Linked DNA regions of Oryzias latipes. The protein of the gene in region 1 binds, or shares a complex with, the protein of each later gene. Links are inferred from orthologs where the notes say so. Each region holds a gene or a part of one and is shown in the gene's direction. Other genes may lie near its edges. The genes, in order: tada2a and yeats2.

Region 1 (11,027 bases):
CTTGCCTTGCCTTGCCTTGCCTTACACATACATGTACTCGGGTATTAAAAGTTTATCTCTAAGTGCTCTTTGATTAATGTTGAGCTTCTGGTGGCGAAGTCTGAATAAATTCTTTTTTTTTCTCCAAGTTAAGCTGTCCCTCTTGGCTGCTGGTCTGCGTGAAACACATCTTGGCAGTTCTTGAACTCATAAAACAAACGCTGCACAGAGCAAAAGGGTAGCATTATCCAGGAATAATGTGCTGTTAGTTCCATCCAACAAATCGCTGCATACTCCTTTTCTGTGTCTAATAGGAATTAATGCAAAAAGATTCTGTTTAATTCAAGCAAAGGTATTATTAATTTGTCCGCACCTGTAACCTCCCCATCTTAAAGACGCCCCCCGCCCATTTGTCATTATTCCATTATTACTGCATCAAACTCTTGTTTCCTGTGTCACAGGTCAAGGTGAAGCATTTTATTAAAAAGGACACACATAGCCAGTCTCTGGATTTATGTTGGAAAAGGGTTGGGTTGGTTGGGTTTTAGATTTTCTATTAGTTTACTTTGTGTGTAAAACTCTGCTGAGTGTCTGTCTCACCTTTTAAGTGGAGTTTCTGACACTAAACTATTCCCTCAGTTCTTTTTAAAATCCAAAAGGTGACTTTTAAGGCAAATAAATAAATAGAAACACTTTTTTCCTTCTGTAAACACTCTCCTCAGTGGCTGAAATCACATCGATTGATACCTGACAGAATGTCTCTATAGAGGGTTGGGCTGCATTGGTTGTCATTATATGTAATCCATTATGAACCTGAAGGTAAACAACTGTGAGGTATCAACAAAGATGTTCTGCTGGAGTGTTTCGTAGCTCTGCATGGGAAAAACTAACATTCCACACCCACTTGCTGACCTCCTTGAACTCCCGCTGTGCTGATTCCTCAAAGGCGCCTTGGCATGGAGAGAAGATGCCGCTGAACTCGCTGGAACGAGGAACACATGTGAAGGGGGAACCTTTCATCAGCAAAAGCGAATGATGACACATATTTTTGTTGACGCTTTTTTTGTTTTTTTGTTGATTTATTCAGATCAAACCAAGTACTCTGGAAAAAAGTCACGTTTGCTTGGATGGTTGAATAGTTTTGTGGCTGCGTTTAAATGTGAAGTGTGCAGTTGTGTGTCAACAGCTTGGAAAACACTTGAAAGTCAAGGCTGGTGGAGGCTTCCAGGCAGAAAAAACTACACTATTTAATGTAACTGAGTCAACACACTTAGCTCTGAGTCTTAAGACGGGATTTTGAGTTACTTCTGTCATGTGGGGATTCCTCCAGATTGAGACACTCTTCTGTCGAGATTTGGTTCTCTGGTTTGTCCGCTTTTCCTACCATCTCTTCTAAGTCAGGAACCAAAAACATGAAAGTAGTTAACAGCAAATCTGGAACGTGAGTGTGTGGCAATATGCAGTGGAGCTGCTGTTAAAATCTGTCATTGAACAAAGGATGCTGTCTGCCACTTGACAGCTGCTCCACTGTGTCTTTGTGTTTTTGACTGCACACACAAACGTGTACATCTGCCCACGTTAGAACGCTGACACTGCTTTCTTTGCTTTATCTTTTTGGTGTTTTGTTCTTTAGATTTGCTCAGTCGTGTTTAGTTTTTGGCATTTGATGTAATCTTATTTAGTCTTTAAGTTCTGTTTTGGGTCTTCCCCCAAGTTACTGTTACACCAGATCTTAGTTTCTAATTATCAAGTTATCCTGTTTCAACTGGGAAGTCCTGTTCAGTATTAAAGACTTTAGTTTTTTTATTTTTCGGGCATCAGGTCTTTTGTATGTTGCACTTTTTCGTGCTACTCTGGAAAAAAGTCTTTCTCACAGAAAAAAAAGAACAAGACATTTCTCTGTTGTTATAATTGAAAAAAATCTGCCAATAGAACTAATTGTTTTGCCCTTTTAGATTAAATAAAGCTTGAAATAGGCTTTAAACATTCATATTAAAGTGTATTGCTCTGGTAATTGGAAAAATGATTTCTTAAACCAGGCGTGTTTTGCTCATAAAAAGTTTAGCATCTTTAGCAAGTATGTATATTTAGACACTTGTCCTCCAAAATACATCCAATTTTAAATACTACAGCAACTATCCAACTATCCTTATTTCTAGACCATTTCACCAAAAAATAAGAATACTATTTAGAGCTGCAAATTTTAAAATAAATATGTTTTAAAATATATATGTAAATAAAACGAAATCAAGAAAGTCAGTTAAATAAGAGCTTTCAAAAATAAAACTTTAGCTTACAAGAAAAGTTTGAAAAAGTGTTTTGTTCAAGAATTCAAGATTAAATGACTCAACCAAAAATTCAAGATGTATTGTCTTAAAACAAGTCATAACAGCGTACTGTACAGTTACTGTTAAGTTAGTTTTGTCTTATGTCAAGTATAAAGGGATAATAAAAGCTAGATAAAAATACTTGATGAGATTTTGTATTTTTTCCAATGTACTTGTTATATGATATTATGTTTATCTTTTATCAGACACGGGTGTCCGATAAAAGAAGAGCCTAAGATTTCAGTTGTCGATACAGACACTGTGAACTTTATTGAACTAGTACTTGTTATATGTCTTGGTTTATTCTCAAAATAAATAATATTTTTTTTAAGTTAATTTTGTTTCTTGAACATCGGAAAAGACATAATAAATGTATATATTAACCCTTTTTTCAGAGTTTTGTTGTCTATGGATGAGAAACTGACTCAAGTTATCAGATTTGATCACAAATCACAAAATGTTTTTACATTTTTTTTAAACGTTTATAAAAAAGCTTCAAGAAAACGCCTTCTCCTGAAAGAAGCTGGTTTGCCACAGTAAGAATAGCGCAGCTTAATAAATGTCATCAGCTCTGCTGCTACAGTGAATATAAATCTTTGATTGAGGCTGTCTGTCCTGCACTTGTCCTCCTCCTTTTGTCTTTTGTCCAGACTTTTTTCAATGGCCTGTGTCCATTCCTTCTCCTTATGTTCCGAATTGACCCATTTGTATTCTAGGATTTTTCATTGGCAGGAGCAGATTAACTGCTTTGTTTGGTGCTTTTTTTTTTTGTCAAGGCCCTGAAGGCGTGTGCCAGATGCCCTCTTTTCTTCACGGGGCCCTTATATTTAAATCACAGCAGCTGGGAGGTGCATTTGCTGGAAGAAAAGACGTGTGCACTAAAGGGGGGGCATTTTTTATTTTAAGAGTCGGGCTTCAGTTATATTTTGGCAAACAGCTGTAGCAGAAAAAGATTTTTGCTGCGTAAAGGCGCCGGAGGAAGGGAGGAGGTGGAACAGGGATGAAGAGTCAGACGGTCCTGTGCCTCCCCCCAAGGCGGTGATGCTGAAGCAGAGGCCATCGCAGGGGAGCACACACGTCTCTCTACAAATCTGACACGCTTTTCTTTGTTACTGTCCGTATGGAAAATGCATTCATTCTGCATTTCCTGCCAAGATGTGAATTCCTACTGTGTGCTAATGCAAATCCTGACCGTGACATTTCAAATGGTCCTTACACATACAATTGTACTTAATTAAATGCAACTGCTGGGCACAGACGTGTCTTTTAGCCAACACACATCTATGAAATGCCAGCATCCCAGCAGAAAAAAATGAACATTTTATGCCTTGTACAGTAAGTTCATTACAGAATAATTTAACGATCAGTAGTAGGAAGGACAATCACATTTGCTGTTTACGATGACATAGGAATGACAATGATCCCTCATTAGCATATTCTTCACCCAAAATGAAGGTTTTCAAAAGGTTTTTAGCTTTAAAACTTTTGGTTCAGACCAATCATGACAACTGTTATGACACATAATTAAGATACCCCTTGAAACAAATCCCTTAAACATATAGCTTTGTGGAGCTTTGTCTGGTTTTATTAGACATTTTTCTCTTTGTTTTGATCATATCTTTGCTTTGTTTTTGGAAAAATAATTTTTTTATTTTGTCTGTATATGTTCAAGCTTTGCCATGAGACATAAAAAAACAATTTGATTACATTTTTTGATGTTTTTTTTGCAGTAAAAAAGGACTAACTTTACCACTCAGGTCAGTTTCAGGTTTGTGGTGAAATTGCTGTTCAATATGATGAGGAATATCAAGGAAAGAAAATAATCTGGGGTTTTACTAAAACAATGGATATTAAAATTGACACATAAAACGGTTATAAAGATAAATTATTATGGTCACCGTAAAAATCTCTCAAAAAGTCCCCAGATTGGTCTCATGCCATTTCAGCCGATTTTAGGCCTCCTTAGAATCTTTAAGGCTGTTAAATAGACCTTTAAAACAAAAAAAGCATGAACTTTACAAAGTTCTAAGAATAACAAACAAATATACTGAGTGCATGTTGGATCAATTAAATTTGAATAGAGAAATGTTTTAAAAAAAACACTTGAACAATAATAAATGACATCCAAAAATCTTCTAATTCCTGATCAATTTATTCCGAATTTAATAATTTAGTGAAACAAACAGTTGATAGAAGGGCTCTTCTGCTGAGATAGTCCTGAAAAGTTGTGGCCTTTATAGCCACGTTTGATCACACACTTGTGGGCATGTGGTGTGAATGCTGCAGCCAGGAACAAAAAAGGAAGCTCACTCTGGCTCAACACACAACAGCAAACCGTTACACAAAAAGGAGAAGTCTCTCCTCATAGGTGAATAAATCATGACCCTCTCAAAGGATGATTACAAGCTAGTATGACGGTGAGCTGGAAATTCCTCCAAAAGAGTAAGAGTGTGCGTGCATCTCCTTAACATACACAGACTATCGTTAAAAACCGTGTCTCTCCCTAGAGGCTCCAGAGATGAGTCGCAGGCTAGGATGCTACCGAACAGACCAATCAGGATGTATTGAACTCACAGAGAAGGCTCAAGCAAGCTGGAACAGAGCAGCCCATTCAGAGTTAACCCATCATGTGGTTTAGGAAGCTGCCCTCATCCTCTGTGGGGATTTGCAGTCTAAATATATTTGCTCTGAATCACCTCAAAGAAAGAAGGAATCAGATTTTCTGGTATCAATGACAGAAATGCAAATATTAGAATAAAAACTGTCATAATTAGTAACTGCAGAGAGGTTAAGAGGTTTCATGAAAATCAAACAGTCCTTTTTCCAGCCACATCTGTACTAAATCAGTCATTTCACTCAAATACTTATTTTTTCTACCTTTAAGTGAGTTTGGCACATGTGGATTTGCAGTTTTATGCATTAGGGTTTCAGATATTTGTTTTCCTAAGGCTCCTCATGGGCCCTCACTGGCATGCTCTTGAGGGTGTTTGAGCTGTTTTTGAATTGGGGGTGCCAAACCTGGACACAGGCACTGGAAAACATTGGTACTCATAAATATTTGCTGGTTTTCATATTAAAGAAAATGTCTTGAAGCCTTTTGCAGGCCAGGCAGCACCTCTGCAAAAAGTTTATGGAGGACAAAAAGCAGCATGGGGGTGTTGTGACACAGAACATTCATCATCTTTATTTCTATTTCTCACATGATGCTTATGCAAGCCTCAGGTAATCATCTGTGCTGGGAGGGAGACAAAGGCTTTCAGGGTGCTCATTGTTGCCTTAAGAGACATAGAGCAAGATCAGCACCTTGTGGCAATATAGGGAAGTACTGTCGTCATGGTGATGAGATGGAGAAACTAAAAACAAGTTAAAATCTCTCCCCATTGCAAAATAAATGTAAAACAAAAATCTTAAGAGAAGGAAAAGAAAGTTAAAGATGAAATACCTTTTTATAAAAATCATTTTGCATTAAAATGCAATATTCCATGTGGCTTTTTTATATATTTCATACATTTTTTTAAACAACATTTGTTTTCTGTTCAAATTTTTGAGTTTCTTCTGCCTTTGTAAGAACCTATGAGGACATGGCACACAACTATTAAAACATAATAGTATATATATCATTTTGTGTGGTGATACACGACCAAAACTATCGATATTCGGAGCTCGATTAGTTATGACGTCATCAGGCACATAGCCGAGTTCTGAAAAACAGATCGACCCAAATTCAATTTTGGTGTTGTTATTGAGAAGCAAATAGCAATTAAATGGACCGAATAGCGTCTTTTTCAGGTACGTATTGGCATTATTATACACACAGTTGAATTTATTGCAGTTTTACCAAGTATCCATCGACTTTTTGGAAGGTTAGCTGTTTTTGTCCATAAAGCAAGGTCTGCTAAGCTATCTTTAGCATTAGCATCGCCGTCAAAAACAATGCTATTTTTGTTTGCCGCAGTGATTTGTTGAAAATATTCGACCTGTTGTTGAGACATTCAACATTATCATCATTTTCAAGCTCGACTAGTAAAGCTAGTCCTTCGCCCAAGATAACATCTGTTTTGTGCATTCAAGTTTGCCCCAAAATCACGACTTTAGGCTATATGTATCTTTTTTAACTGCGTGTTGTTACTATTAAAACTGTTACTGATAATATATATATAATTATTCTGTTCATTTTAGATGACCCCTTTGATAAACCGCCTTGCAGAGGCTGCTCATCCCATCTAACCGAACCATACATCAAGTGCGCAGAATGTGGACCTTCACCTTTTTTGTTGTGTCTTCAGGTAAGCCAGATGAGGATGCTTATAATTTGTTTGTTTTGGCTCTTTAGAATGTGTGTTTGAACACAAACCGAATAACTCAGCTGTAACTTTACGCAGACAGACCACAGTTTAAACACTTTGGACAAAACCTTACGATTTTTTTTTTTAGCCCAGTATTTCCTTGTTGTTGTTGCAAAACTTCTTGGCAATAAATGTTAGACTTCTGCAAAATTAGTTTGCTTTATATTTTAAATGAGTCCATATTTGTGAGGAACGCGCATTTGTGCAATGAGCAGCAGAAGGTATGCAAGGTTTTCCAAATAGCCAAACTGCTTTTATTTCTGTAGCCATTGATTGACCCTTATTTTTGGAACTTCTGGAGGTTTCCACATCAGTGCCCGCCCAGCACTGATCGCCTTCCACAGATTTCTAACTACTATACCTGATTTGAGAAAAAAAATTCAAATGAAAGAACATGATGCCATCCCACGGCAGTGTATAATAAAGAGGTGTCAGGGTGTTCCGTCCAGTTCTTTCATGTTCCACTGATTATCCTGTTTCTTAACAATTGTTTTATTTATTTTTTACATTGCCAATACCATATATCTTCCAATAGTGGCTGGTCTTCAATTAATGTCAGGGCTATTATTGGAGGATATACGGTAAGTCTTACATCCATTATTAAATAATATATTTATTGCCTTAGAAACATTATTACATTTGAGAAAAAATCATGTAGCACAAATTAAAATACTTTTGCACTCTGAATTTTGAATTTGTTCAAATAGCATTAGATCGTATTGCTAAACCAAATAATGTTTTGTATGTATGTTCTTTATTATGAGTGTTAAGTGTTACATTTTCTAGGGTTTTCTATTGTTACAAATATTCTATGATAGATACAATTTTATTAAAAATTAAAATAATTGACATATTTAATTTTGTATCTATAAAATATATCAACTATATATTAATAAGTACAGTTTTTAAATATAGTATTACATTCTGTAGTAAAAGGGTATTAAAAGTACATTACAATGTTGTTGATCACATTTCTAAATGTGTTTCTTAAAAAGTGACGCTTTATTATAGTTTTATAGCACACTGATATTATGAAATCTTTTAAAATTATTTAAAAGGATGAAGTCAAATTGTGTCTAACCTGGTTTAATACTGTGCTTTCTCACACACCTGTGTTGAATACAAATTCTTTTGTTAGTTACTTCCAAAAATGCACTTGTTTTTTCTTTCTAGATTAGAACTTTGTTATTTTGCAAAATGATTTCCTTCACTGTTAAATTAATGGGGAAATAAATGACCAGATCTTTACGATTGGGTTTATTTGAAAAATAAGCCACATTATAACTGCTGCTTCTTTCATGGTCGTCATATCGATACAATTTATGAATTCACTTAATTTGCATGTAAGTTTTACTTTTCTCAGTTAAGAAAACCTCCTCAGTGCATTCAAAGAACTTTTATTTAATGAACAAATCGTGTCTTTTACCTGACCAGCTTTACCCTGAACTTATTTCGTTCCAGTGTTTTACCAGAGGATTTGAATACAAGAAGCATCAGAGTGATCACAGATATGAAATCATGGTGAGTGGAGCTGCAGTTGAGTTTCTCGGGTGTAGCTAAACATCATGTTTAGCGGGCATCTTTTGTGTTACCTCGACTCAGACTTCAGACTTCCCGGTGCTGGAGCCTGGATGGACGGCGCAGGAGGAGATGGCTCTGCTGGAGGCAGTCATGGATTGCGGGTTTGGGAACTGGTAAGAGGTCGAAGACATTTTACCAGTGTTTTCTTTTTGAATACACTTATTTTTACTAACTTCAAAAAGCAAGTTTTTAATGTTTTATCATTTAGCTATTTATCATTGGTGTCATGTTAGTTTCATTGTCTTTTGGTTTCAAAATGTGACAATTTTTACAAGTCATTTCTGCTGTTTAATGGAAATCTCACATTAATTATTTAAAAAAGAAGATTGGTGAAAATATTATTTAACAGTGGTTATATTGTTTTTTAATTTAAGTGTAATTTAGTTACTGCCTCGAAGTTTGGGGAAAAGCATATTCTGTCCATATATATAAAGCCTTTGTTTCATTTACAGAAAAAAGCAATTAGTATAATCAACAAAAAGGCAGCAGAGAATTCACTAATAATTTAATTGATTTTTTAAAAACTTTATTATTCATGTTAAAAGCCAAATTGAAAATTCTCCCAAACATCATTCAATCCGTTTTTTCTTTTGTTTCATAAGACGATAGCGACAGGAGGAAATATAATTTGCCACTTGCACGCACAACTAATAGACACACATATCACTATATGCAGTCAATCTATGCAACTCACTGGACAGTACATTGAAAGAAACTACAAGCATAGTTGCATAGATTGGAAAAAAAAAGCTTAAAAATGGGATATTTAAAAAATACAAGCAGAGAACTGAAGTAAGACATCCACAAACGTAAGCTTGAGACCGAGCTGGGTTAAGGAGGGGATAGAAATGTAGAAATGTAAAGTTTTGTTGTTTGTGTTGTTATTAACGTCGCAATGTGCTTCTTTAAAAGGAACAGATTAACGTCATTTCTGGATATAGAGCGCACCTGATTATAAGCCGCACCCATTCCATTTTTAAAGGATAAAACATTTTGTACATACATAAGCCGCACCTGTCCATAAGCTGCATGTGCCCACATTGAAACATGTGTTGTAGAATGAGGATGTGTATGTGCTGAAACCACGAGCCCTGTGTGTAAGAAAGAGGGGAGAGCGTGCAGCGCTAGAGGGAGGCTGTCACTTACTCTTGCACTGCTAGTGCTCCTTCCTCTTACACACACAGTGCACTGACACACACATACTCATTCTACAACACCAATATAGTTAGTTCATTGATAGTAGTTAGTTGTTACGGTTATTTGTTAATAAAGATTAGTGCGTTGTAATTATTACTTGTACGTAGGCCTGCACAATATACCGCAAATTTATCGTTATCGCAATATCAAGCTGTGCAATATGCATATCGCAAAAGACAGCAAATTTGCAATAAATGGTTACCTTAGATGTGGCCAAACAATCTTATGGCAGCTTGAAGTGTTTAATGGATTGAAAGAATCCCTTTCTGCATTTGACCAATGAGATGGACCTCTTCACGTTGTTAACTAATCGGATGGCGCCCTATTATGTTGTATGTTCGCCTCCTATGTCAACAAGGGTCATTTGTAGTATAATTTTTAAGCTGTTGTAATGGAATGGGAATAATATTTTTGGTTGTTTTGCTAATTGTTTATATACTGCAAATTATATCGTTATCGCAATATTAATTACTAATATCGCATATCGCGAGTTTTCTTCATATCGTGCAGTCGTACTTGTACCGGTATTCATTTGCGACGCAGCCGCCGGAGGATTTTGTGTTCATCACAGCGGTCATCAAAAATCCCACACCGTCACAGCTCTATTCCAAACAGTGCCTGTGACATGGCAGCAATATGGTAGTAACAGCACTAACAGGGCTTGTTAAAAAAAAACATACCGGTAAAAGTCACTGAAAGAAGAAAAAAAAAAGTCACTGAAAGCAGCAGTAACTTATAAGCACGCCTCTGCGTGACACGCGCCTCCTGTGCACTGAAACCATGGAGGTTTTCCTCCTCAGTGTCAGATTGGAACAGCGTCAGATATTCTTCCCCACACTCTCTCTGTCTCTCTTTCGTTGTCGCTGTCATTGTCACTCTGAGGCAAATTCACTCCTGAGCCGGGTTTTCCAAACCCGTTGGTGATGGTGGATTTTTTCACACTGCTTTTAACGATTGGTTTTAACTTAAAGCTGCTTAAGCATTTCTTCTTGCATTTTCTATAATGAGGGTCTTTTTGTGCTATTCATTCCCAAAGCGGGAATTCACATTAAACTTGCGTCTTCCTCGACACATATACCGTATTCCCCCTGCTCGAGCGCCCCTAGCGGGCGTTAGAAAATATGCATAAAAAAAAGATAAAAATGCAGAAATTAGTCGCATCATTGAAGAAGCCGCAGGTTTGAAAGCGTGTGACAAAAGTAGCGGCTTATCATCTGGAAATTACGGTATATAAGAATTTTCTTCATGCTGTTCCAAATGTTCAAGCCTAAAGAAGGGCTAATTCATTTTTTTTGGAACCTCTACATCTGAGTACGGTAATTAAATGGAATGAAGGTAATAAGAATACCAGAATACTAGGCAGTTGCAGGTTTAATTAAAACTTCAAATTTGTATCTTTTAATCCGTAAAAACATCATCTTTCACACATGCCATGTTGAGAAAAGTCCTCTAATTGTCTGCGTTCATTCTTCTCAGGCAGGACGTGGCATATCAGATGCGCACAAAAACCAAAGAGGAGTGCGAGAGCCACTACATGAAGAATTTCATCAACAACCCCCTGTTTTCCTCCACCTTACTCAGCCTGAAGAAAACGAAA
Region 2 (10,375 bases), on another chromosome or scaffold:
ACAATTAAGTGAAAAGACACTTTTCTTAAGAAAAGTGATTTTTTTTGTCATTAATAAATTGAATATATAACCTTTTTTTGTCTTTTATGTTCTAACCCTCATCTGAGATCATAAATGTTGGGTACCCAAAATACCAACTGTCTGGTATCGGGTCATGATGCAGTTTAGACACGTAGGGCTCCAGAATGGACTGATTATGGTTAGGAGTGTTCTCTTGGGAAAGCCTACCCCCTTAAGAGCTAAAGGAGACATCTGATGAGGAGGTCCAGTAATGAAGTCCTAGATGAGCTGCCAAAAAAAAGCACCCCATGAAAAAGAACAGTCAAATTTAGAGGTGTTAAAAGCTTAAAATATTTCATGAAATTGGTGTGATTAACAGTTGATGTTCTTTAGACTATCTTAGCCCTCAAGTTCTCTTCCATTTCAATTCCTCCAATATCTTTGACATATAAAACACCAAAAGATTTACTCTGTATCTGTTTACTGGTACATCTTCTCATCTATAGGCTCCCCCATCTCCACCCCAAGCCACTCTCCCCTGCCTCGCACACCCATCGCCTCCACCCCCGCTCACACCAAGGATGGCTCCTCTGTGCTCAACAACCCTTATATCATAGTAGACAAACCTGGCCAAATGATCGGCATGACTTCCTCGTCTGCTGGGCCCACAGGTACAAATCTTTTTGTCAGTGCTGCCGATGCTCCACAGAGTTTAAAAGCAAACCTCTAAGATGCCCTTGAAAACGTTTAATGGCTACAGAGAATGGAAAGTACAGCAAATGATCAAATCTGGAAGATTTTTTTTCTGCACATCTCTGCACCCAAAGCCTCTTGTCTGTTCTTCTCTTTAATATTTTAAAAAATATTTGATAGTATTTTTGTCTGTGGGTTTCGTTTTCTAATGAGTGACGTGAGGTGAAACAGCAGAATAGCTGCTGGCTCTGAGATTACCATGGCAACAGCGCTGTGGTAGTTCATGATCAGGGCAGGAGAACATCTTAAAAATCCTTTTGCTCTTTTGAGAAAAGATGAATTAGAAGTACTTTTTTGCTCCATGGAGTGCAGGCTGCTTCATGATCACAGATCTATTTTACACATCAGAAACTTGGGTAACCATTGCACCATTGGAGCTCTTTCTCTTATGTTGTGCTATTATATCCACTTAGACACTCCTACGCTTCCTCCACGAGTTCAAACATCAGTCAGATCTAGTTTTGGGATTGGAGCGGTAGTAATGATTTCCCTCAGGATTATGTTGATATGAGTGTCATGGGGGGGTGGGGTCGATTCTCCGAACCTGCAGCTCTACTTCTACATGGAGTGCAGTTAAATGTCCGCTTTAGCATTATCAATAAAGTTATTGCTCATTTTTGTCCATATTCTGTTACATAGGAAGCCCTACAAGCAAACAGGGTCAAGGCACACGCTCCCCAGCACCTAAAGTTCACACCGGCACCTTGCTGTCCTCAGGAGTGAAGGTGAGTTAGCCACGTTTTAGACGAAAGCACATTTTTTTGAGGGATTTATCCATCCTCCAGCCTGTCCCTGTAGCATTTGCCTCTCCAGCAAAGCAGTGTGTATTAATAGTAGGCTGGGGAACTGCCTTCTGCAGATGTGAGCCCTTCAGCAGCTATTTAAATAGGGCATCTTTGTGAAGATGGGGGTGGGGGTGTGGGAAGCTCTGTAGAGAGAATTACTCGGTTCAGCTTCACACCAAATGTCTTGACAGCCTGCAGTAAAGTGATTGCGCTGCCACTTGTTGCCATCCTTTTGATTATTCTGTGATTTTACTTTGAAATTCTCTTCTAATACAGTTTTAGTCCTGTCACCGTTTAGTCCAACATTCTTCGACATGTTCACAAAAGCGACTGTTATTTTTTGCAAGAACAGTCATCTTTTAAAACATTTCTTGTGTTTCTTGTTCAGGTTATTATCAAACAGGAGCCAGGGGAAGTTTCAACAGCGCAGCAGCAGCAGATGGTTTCCACGGTAACCAGCCAGCAGCAACCTTCTGCTGCAGCAGCTCACCAGTTGGTTGCAATGAAAGGAGGTCACATGATCTCCATGACGGCTCAGAAACAGGCCGGAGGAGCCACAGGGTCCACAACAAGCAAGGTCAGACATTCCTGCATAGATCCAGACAGTAACCAGGAGGATCTACCTGAATTGCGTCCAAAAAGCCAAGTTTAGCTTCCAGATCCCAAAAGAAAACAGTCTGATGAGATTTGACGGAACAAGGAAAAATAAGATCTATAATGTTTTAAAAACTTGTTTCAGGCTTTAAACTTTTGAAAGATCAAGTACTGCAGTCTTTTTTTTCTTGCTCTCACTCATCATTATTTTTCATTCCCAAACACAGTAACTCCTAAACATTTCTTTTCATTTGTTTCTCTCTCCCCTTCTTCTCTTTGTAGATGTTGGGGATTCCTGTTGGCTCCACACTTCAATCTTCGGTTAAGCAAGTTGCCATCAGCAGTGGGCAAATTCTGGTTGCCAAGGGCAACCCCGGTTCCAAAGTGATGGGAGGCAAGCAGGTTTTGGCTCAGGGAGTTGCTAAAGCCATCGTCAGTGGAGGCAGCGCCTTGTCAGGCCAGCAGGGCGGCGCCAAGACAGCTGGTGGTTCAGGGGGCAAAAGTGGAGGTTTGAACTCACAGACATGACTGACATTTAGATTCACTATGATAAACCTTTACATCTTAGCTTATAGGAAATTAGCTCTTTTTATCTCAAACATTTAGATTCTGTAATATTGTAAACCTTGAATTGTAAATAAACACCTTTCTGAAAAATCAGACACTTTTGGTTTTACACCCTTCTTCCTTTTACCTTGATCTGTACACCGTCTTTTGTATTTTTTACAGTAATGGCTACTCTGCAGCTTCCAGCCAACAACTTGGCGAATTTGGCCAATTTGCCTCCTGGCACCAAACTTTATCTGACGACCAACAGTAAGAACCCATCAGGGAAAGGAAAGCTGCTGCTGATACCACAGGGAGCCATTCTCCGAGCATCTAGTGCAAGTAAGACATCCTCAAACTTATGTTTATGCCTTTAAGTACAAAGAAACCTCCACATTATTTAGATCTGTTTCAGTTATACTACACACTTATTATCCTATTAGTTTTAAATAGCTGCTTTGTTTGTACTTTTGTCCAACAATTCACTTTATCAATCTTAGTTTTATGCTTTTATGAATTGAGAACCACAAAGCTGATTGATTACTAAATATTAAAGTGTAATAGGATTGTTTACCTGATTTAAAAATGTCCTGTCGTCTGCGTGGAATTAAGGTCAGCAGTCCCAGAGCAGCTCCTCTGGAGGCGCAGGAGGTTCCCAGAGCTCCTCTTCCAGCAATCTTACTTCAAACCTGTCCTACACATCCTACATCCTTAAACAGACCCCACAGGTAGTTACACTCTTGTTTTTTTATATAAATAACTACCGTAATTTCCGGACTACAAGCCGCTACTTTTTTCCTGCGCTTACAGCCCTGCGGCTTATTCAGTGACGCGGCTAATTTATGGATTTAATTAGCGGCCGCCATGTACGTACTTTCGAACTCAGTGAATAGTTTGAATTCTTTATCTAACACCAAGCACAAGGCATTTATATTCAACACACCTTTAAGCAGCCAAACAGCATGGACTTGACTTCAGGTCTTAGACACTTCAGTCATGGTTCAACAAAACGAAACACGCATGCCCGGCCGCATCCCAGAACCCTTTGGTGCCATTAGACCCAACGTGCACGTGATCGCCGCTACAATATGATGAAGCTTTCAAGTTAAAAGCAATCGTTAAAAGCAGCATAAAAAAGTCCACCGTCACCAACGGGTTTGGAAAAGCCGGTTTCCTGCGTGACGGAGAGAACAGCGCATGGAGTGAATTTACACTCCATTTACGGTTTCTAAGGAAACCGTAAAAGCGGAATTTTGCTTTGAAAAATTCACAGCCTCCGTGTGAGCTGGAGACATCTCCTGCTGATTGAGCTGCGGGGCCGATGGCAGTCCCACGTAACAACGCACCCGCCCCTCATACACAAAACGTACAGTATTAAGTCCGATTGCTTTGCACTGAAACGATTTGCTCCATCCACCGGCGCAACGGGGACGAAGTGCTCCTCCTTGAAGCCGCCCTGGCCAGAGGTGTCAGAGTAGATAGGAAGGGGAGACAAGGAGCGCGCGGGGCGGGAGCGGAGCGCAGAGGCTTCTGAATTCTGACGCACGCGCCGCACTGAGGCGCGCGTATCACGCTGAGGCGCGCGCTTTTCAGTCAGTCGCCGCTGCTGTATTTTACCGGTGTGTTTTTTAACCAGCCCTGTTACTCCCATAACGCTGCCGCGACACAAGCGGAAGGAGAGCTTTTCCCGTTCACCCCTCCATGCACTGCTGATACTTGCTCATTCTTAAACACGTACAACAGAATGGCGAGCCGGGCATTGGCCCCGCCTTTAGCCCCTAAGACTCATGGGAAATGTGGAATCGCAGATGTAAATTTCCTCATCATAACTGAGGGATGTAATGTTGATTATATGGTTACTGTTTGTAATTTTATGTATGATACCTAGATTGTCAATAAGTAAAAAAAAAAATGAAATAAAAACACCATAACTGAGGAACTTGTGAACAGAATAGAGGTCCATGCTGTTTGACAGATGTCGATACTCAAATACATGAGCCTGAGGCAAAGCTGGCACCACCCACAATGTGCTAATGAATTGCACTCACTCTGGGATGCTGGCCGTGATCTGTCAGGATGACAATATCGCCTAACACATGCTCGGCTTGTACTCTGACGCGGCTTGTGTATGTGTAAAACTAATTAAACACGTGAAAGTGGGTGGGTGCGGCTTGTAATCGGGTGCGCTTTGTAGTCCGGAATTTACGGTAGTTGGAATTACATAGCATTGTCATTGTTCTACATTTCTGTTGGAGATTGTTTGGAATTCACAGCAGCAAGGTTTCTTTATTGACTGTCAGTCGTGTGTTTCTGCATGCATTCTCATGAACCCTCTTCATAATACTGCCTGTTCTTCTCTGTAAAGAAATGGCTCCCTGTCCCGGCTTTTTATCTGCTGCTTGTTCTAAAAATTCTTCTATGGGCTCCACTTTCAACAACACAAAAGATGGAAGAATAGGAAAATAAAAATGTCCTTTGAAATCTCATTTTTCTTGAGTATGGCTTTGTTAGCTGTTTACAGAGTTGCTTAAGATCAAATTCTAGTGCGACAGCAGATTTTCAGCTTAATGTTCACTTCTAGATCAGCTTGTTTGGACAGTGGAAAGCATTGAGGTTCTTTTTTAACATCCATATGCCTTCAGAGAGAGCACTTGTTTATTTTTCCCTTTTGTAACTTCTGCTGTTACTGTCCTTCCCACGCCCACGTCCAAACCTAACTTTGTGCTTCGAAGGGCACATTTCTGGTTGGGCAGCCAGCGCAGGGGGCTGCGAAACAGGGGGGTGCCAGCTCAGCAGCTCATTCAGCAGCTTCTCCAGCTGCAGCTGCTACCCAGCAGGCCATTCGGGTCACAGCTGGACAGAAAGCAGCCATCTTGGCTCAGGTGAGTGAACATCCCTGATATCAGGCCTTTACTGCTACCTTTAGTATTTTTTTTAAGCTAAACTGTTGTTCATGAAGATTTTCATAAGCAGCCTGAAGCGAGTCTTTATAAAATGTTTAAAAAAACAGAAAAGGTTTTCCAAAAGAGCTAAACTAAGGAATTGTTTTTTTCAACTCTGAATTCCTTTAATCATGATGTTTTAATCCTGTAGTGCAAATAAATCCTGTTTTAAATAAATTTCTAAATAGTTATAAATGTGTATCCTTTGACACCTCCCCGTTGTGTTTTTTTTACTGGCAGGTGGTGGGCTCCACCCAGGGCGCCCAGCTTAAGCTGTCTGACGGCTCCGTCAAGACCGTGACATCAGCAGGAGCCGGTCACATGTCCAAGTTGGGTACCACCACTCTGAGGATGACGGGCGGAGTCATCACTACTTCAAGCTCCACCCCTGCCAGCACTGCAGCAGCCAATCAGCAACAGGTTGGCTTCATTACAATTTAATAATAGCAATGTAAAGCAAACTTGTTAATCTCAAAAGTTTCTTTAGTTTTATTTACATTTTGTATTTTTTTGTAAAAATGTAAGAAAAGTCAGCATCTTCTAAACAATTAGATTTTATGTTTTGAGCATAAGCAGCTTCTTGGATATTGAATGACATTATTGACCGTCTCTGAAAGCAGAGATGAGTTTGTTGTCTTGTTTAGGAGGGATTGAAAGATTTACAGCATATTTGGCGCCTGTAGGTAGTAGTTATCAGTGCTGCATGTGGGGGCAGAGGGCTCTTCTGTTGTTGTTAAATCCATGGGTGTCATAGTGACCTGAGCATCAGATCTCACTCAAAGGGCTGCACAACAATAAAAACTGAGAGTGAGGAGAAGTTGTTCTGTGCCATGTTTGCTAAATCTTCTTTTTAGTTTTACAGCCCAAACCCACCTGCGGAAAATTCAACTTTTTCCTTTCTTTTGTTGTTGTAGTGGTCTGCAGTTCTACAAAGAATTTGAACGGCAATTCCTTCATATTTAAATTTAGTTTTAAAGGATTTTTCTCTTAAAAAACTTTGAAGAATTCAGTCTTTGTGCCTCAGTAAAACACAGATTTATGTGTAAACACAGATATGTTTAGATAAGGAAACCCTAACACCTCCCTAAAAGGCAAAAAGCCACTGTGTTTTTAAAAACACAGATGAGGTTCTGAATTTGGGGTATTTTGGTTAGAACCACTTTAAATGAGTTCTTGTGTTTTTGTTCATTTCCTGGTTGTGTTTCTCTTGTGTGTTCATAGACGGCTGATAGTGGGAAGTCGGCCTCTCAGCAGCAGTCTCTTCTGGTGGCGGCCAACCAGGCGGCGGTAATCAGTGCAGCCAAGAACTCCAGTGCTGCTGGAGGCGGGAATACGTCCAAAGCTGCTGCATTGAACTCCTCTGGGAAAGGGGCTGGTATCGCTGCGGCAGGAACCAAAACCGCTGTTGGCGCGGCAGTTTCTGCTGCAAAGGGGGTCACAAGCATGCCTGTTGTTGGGATGTCAAAAGGAGGCGGGGTCGGGGCCGTAGTGAGTGTACCCAAAAGCAGCAGCGCCTCCTTGGTTTCTGCAGCATCATTAGTAAGCGGCGTGGCGTCTGGAGGAGGAAGGACTGGTGCAACTCTATCAGGTAGATAGACATGATTTAATGCAACAGTTACTAACTTTTATTGAGCATTAACAGATAGAATTGGGTTTAATTGCCAAAATACTGAATTGGTTTGATTCAAGTATTCATTTAAAACCGATGTTCAGTTATAAATAACACTTTTTTAAATGTTCAAAAAACTGAACAAAAGTGGTTAAAATGTAAAAGTCAAGTAACTAGAAGCTTAAAAATAAACACAAAATGAAGTAAGGACTGGTTCAAAAATTATTTTTAGTTGTTTTTTTCTCTTTGTAACCCGCAAAGAAAATCTAGATAAAACAAAAAAATAAATCTTTGGATGCCAGAATACTAAAGACTAGGAATAATTGTAGATTTAAAACAGCTTCATACTTTTTAGGTTGTTCTTTAACTAGATTGATTTGAAAGTTTTCTTCCTCTCCCCCATCATGTTCCTGATTGGCTGGTGTTTAAGCATCAAATGCTCCATGGTATTTCGCACACCTCATTCAATAAAGTTCCTTGTCTGCTTATCGTTTTAATCTCCATTTGTTTGTCTGGATATTAGAGCTACAGAACATGGAAGGAGAGCTGACACACACATTTTCCTCGTATGTTTTTCAGGGATGCTGAAGATCCACTCTGGAGCTTCCGGCTCCCAGCAGACGGTCTTAACTATTCCTGCCAACCAGCTCAAGCAGCTGAGCGTCGGCAGCGTTTCTGGTGGACTGCAGACTATTTTCATGCCTGTTGGGAAAGGTAAAACTTTCACATCGACTTTCTTTAAAAAAAAAAAAAAAACCTTTTCAGTTGCATGATTTTCAGAGAGAAATCCTCTTTTTAGTTACAAATGATTTCCGTCTTCAAATAAGACAAAGTTAAAGTGGTTATAGAGATGAAGAAAGACATCGTTTATGTAGGAACAAAAACCCTTTAAATGATTTCCACTCATCTTTCATCTACATACATGTAAAGCCTGTTTCCCTAAAGGGCAAATGCTCCATCCGTGTGTATTTCCTGTGTGTATAGTGGTGGCTAAAGGCCCAGTCTCCAGTACTGCTTCCTCCTCATCATCAGCAACCCCTGGAACAGCTGGGACTGGAGCCTCCCCAAGTCCTGCTAGCCAACAACCCCCCTCCCTTGCCCTGCCTCTGGCACAAGGTGAGAGGGGATCATCCTCACTTCATCTTCATACTTTAATGTATTTGGTTAGGCTGTGTCGGGCTTAGGAAGGATGCAATCACTTTAATATTTTTTTTATATCAAAAATCAAGTATTGTAACGAACCCATCATGTAACACCCATTCCCTGTCATTTCACATTTCCCTTTCCTCTTTGTGTTTATTTGGTTTGGATCTTCTGCTGGAAATGAACGCTTCTGCTCTCTGCTGTAACAGTGAAAACAGAGCCGGGGGCTTGTCCATCTGTGTCAGCCTGCCCTTCGCCCCCAGTGGCTGGCGCTGCCCCCACCTCTGTCCACGTTACCTCAGCCACCACCACGGTCAAGCAGGAGCAAGGAGCGGAGAGCGCCGCCCACGACCTCATCAAGTAATGCAAAGAAGGGTCGTAGTTTTAGCATCACGTTTACCGCAGACTCTGATAGAGTACCGAAAATATTAGTTGCTCTCCTCCTTTTAAATTTTCCATTTAATCTAAGACTAAAAATATTTTAAACGTTTTTTTATTGCCTTTTCTTATTCCTTTTAATTCATATATTTTTAAATAGTATGAATCGCTAACAGTGTTAGCTGCAAAGCTAATTTTCAACTGTAGTCGCTGGGAAAGTCGTAGGTTTACCAACAACAAACACCAAAAACACACAAAATCTACAATAAAAGTGACAAATAATACAAGAGTTTGAAAGTTGAAGTAGTCTCTACACATGTCAAATTAATAAAAACTCACTCAAAACCATGAGTTAAAAGAGAAGTATCACGGTGAATGACAACAAGCAACGTTTGAAAAGGACTTTGGATTACGTTGAACAGCTTATCAAGTCTAATTCTGCCTTTTTTGTAAAATAAAATGTATACAAACTGTAATTTTACAAAATTACTAGAAGAAAAACACAAACACCGAAAATAATCAATTATGGTCAAATGATAAATAAAAAAATGGATAAATACAGAAAAGAAAAATAACATTTAGACAATAAAAAAAACCTAAAGTTTAGACAGGTTTTTTTTTTAAGTAGAACTGATTTGTATGGTTTGTGAATATTAAGAAAACAAAACACAACAGTTAAACTACACTTGGCTCACTTTCGTTGCAGCACTGAGCACATAGAGACCATGATGCAGCTGCTGACTGCTGTTGTGAAGAAGTTCCCTTTAATTGTGCCAGAAAAAAGTAAGTTTGCTTTCTTTCCAGGTGATCCAACAAAGAACACAGATTTTTTTTCTCTCCAGCTGTCTGAATATTCTTTTTCTGTGTTTAGCTGAAGACTCCCACCAGTTTTGTGCCTCCTCGATGGAACAGTATTATTCCTGGAACATTGGCAAGCGGCGAGCATCAGAGGTAACTTTATGCTTCTTATCAATTGTTTTTCTAAAAACTAAAAATCTTTCCATGTCTGCACCTGTCAGGAAAACTGAAGTGAGTCAGAAAAAGCAGAAACGTGTCATTAGACAGAGCTGCATTTCTAACTTTATGAAAATTTGTCATTTTTACATTATTGCACCAAATCACCCATAGATGCAGTTAGAAAGGATACTAGTCTGGTCTGAACCTTCCATTCAACAAATCACATCTGCCAGAAAATATCTGAAAATATTCTGCTCCCCTCTGATCCTTCTGATCCTAAAATGATGAAGTTGAATGGATACAGTGATCCCTCGCTTTGTTGCGCTTCACCTTTCACTTCATCTTTCTTTTTTTCTTTTTTTCAAAGCGCACTGTGCTCTGTGTCCTAATTGGCTGTTGGCCTTGTCAGTCAATCAATATCTTTGGTGACATGTCTGCTGTACAGAGTTATCTAAATCTTTGTGATGAGATCTCTGTTTCTATTCTATAATCCTGAAAATAAATTGTGAATTTTAAAAGTTTAAACAAGAGAGAATAGTGTGAAAATGTTCATGTCAGACTTGAGAAAAGGTGTTTAAAGTGTGCAGTGAGTTGTTTACGGTCTTAAAACATCTGGACATCCTACTTTGCGACTTACATCCATCCCAGGTTATTTATGGAACATATCC

What was found.
Region 2: tada2a (region 1) and yeats2 share a complex: the UniProt entries of both Homo sapiens proteins name them as parts of the ADA2A-containing complex. The link is inferred for Oryzias latipes from reciprocal best matches to the Homo sapiens genes TADA2A and YEATS2.

The regions. Positions count from the first base shown.
Region 1 is NC_019871.2:10,128,488-10,139,514, forward strand, and holds the start of tada2a (transcriptional adapter 2-alpha), read left to right. Parts: upstream 1-5,969; 5' UTR 5,970-6,070; coding exon 6,071-6,095; intron 6,096-6,485; coding exon 6,486-6,592; intron 6,593-8,113; coding exon 8,114-8,173; intron 8,174-8,254; coding exon 8,255-8,346; intron 8,347-10,906; coding exon 10,907-11,027. UniProt on the Homo sapiens protein: Component of the ATAC complex, a complex with histone acetyltransferase activity on histones H3 and H4. Required for the function of some acidic activation domains, which activate transcription from a distant site. Binds double-stranded DNA.
Region 2 is NC_019875.2:23,332,117-23,342,491, reverse strand, and holds part of yeats2 (YEATS domain-containing protein 2), read left to right. Parts: intron 1-506; coding exon 507-671; intron 672-1,392; coding exon 1,393-1,478; intron 1,479-1,926; coding exon 1,927-2,115; intron 2,116-2,414; coding exon 2,415-2,640; intron 2,641-2,861; coding exon 2,862-3,020; intron 3,021-3,290; coding exon 3,291-3,406; intron 3,407-5,410; coding exon 5,411-5,560; intron 5,561-5,860; coding exon 5,861-6,040; intron 6,041-6,841; coding exon 6,842-7,208; intron 7,209-7,808; coding exon 7,809-7,943; intron 7,944-8,213; coding exon 8,214-8,345; intron 8,346-8,581; coding exon 8,582-8,732; intron 8,733-9,456; coding exon 9,457-9,533; intron 9,534-9,621; coding exon 9,622-9,701; intron 9,702-10,375. UniProt on the Homo sapiens protein: Chromatin reader component of the ATAC complex, a complex with histone acetyltransferase activity on histones H3 and H4. YEATS2 specifically recognizes and binds histone H3 crotonylated at 'Lys-27' (H3K27cr).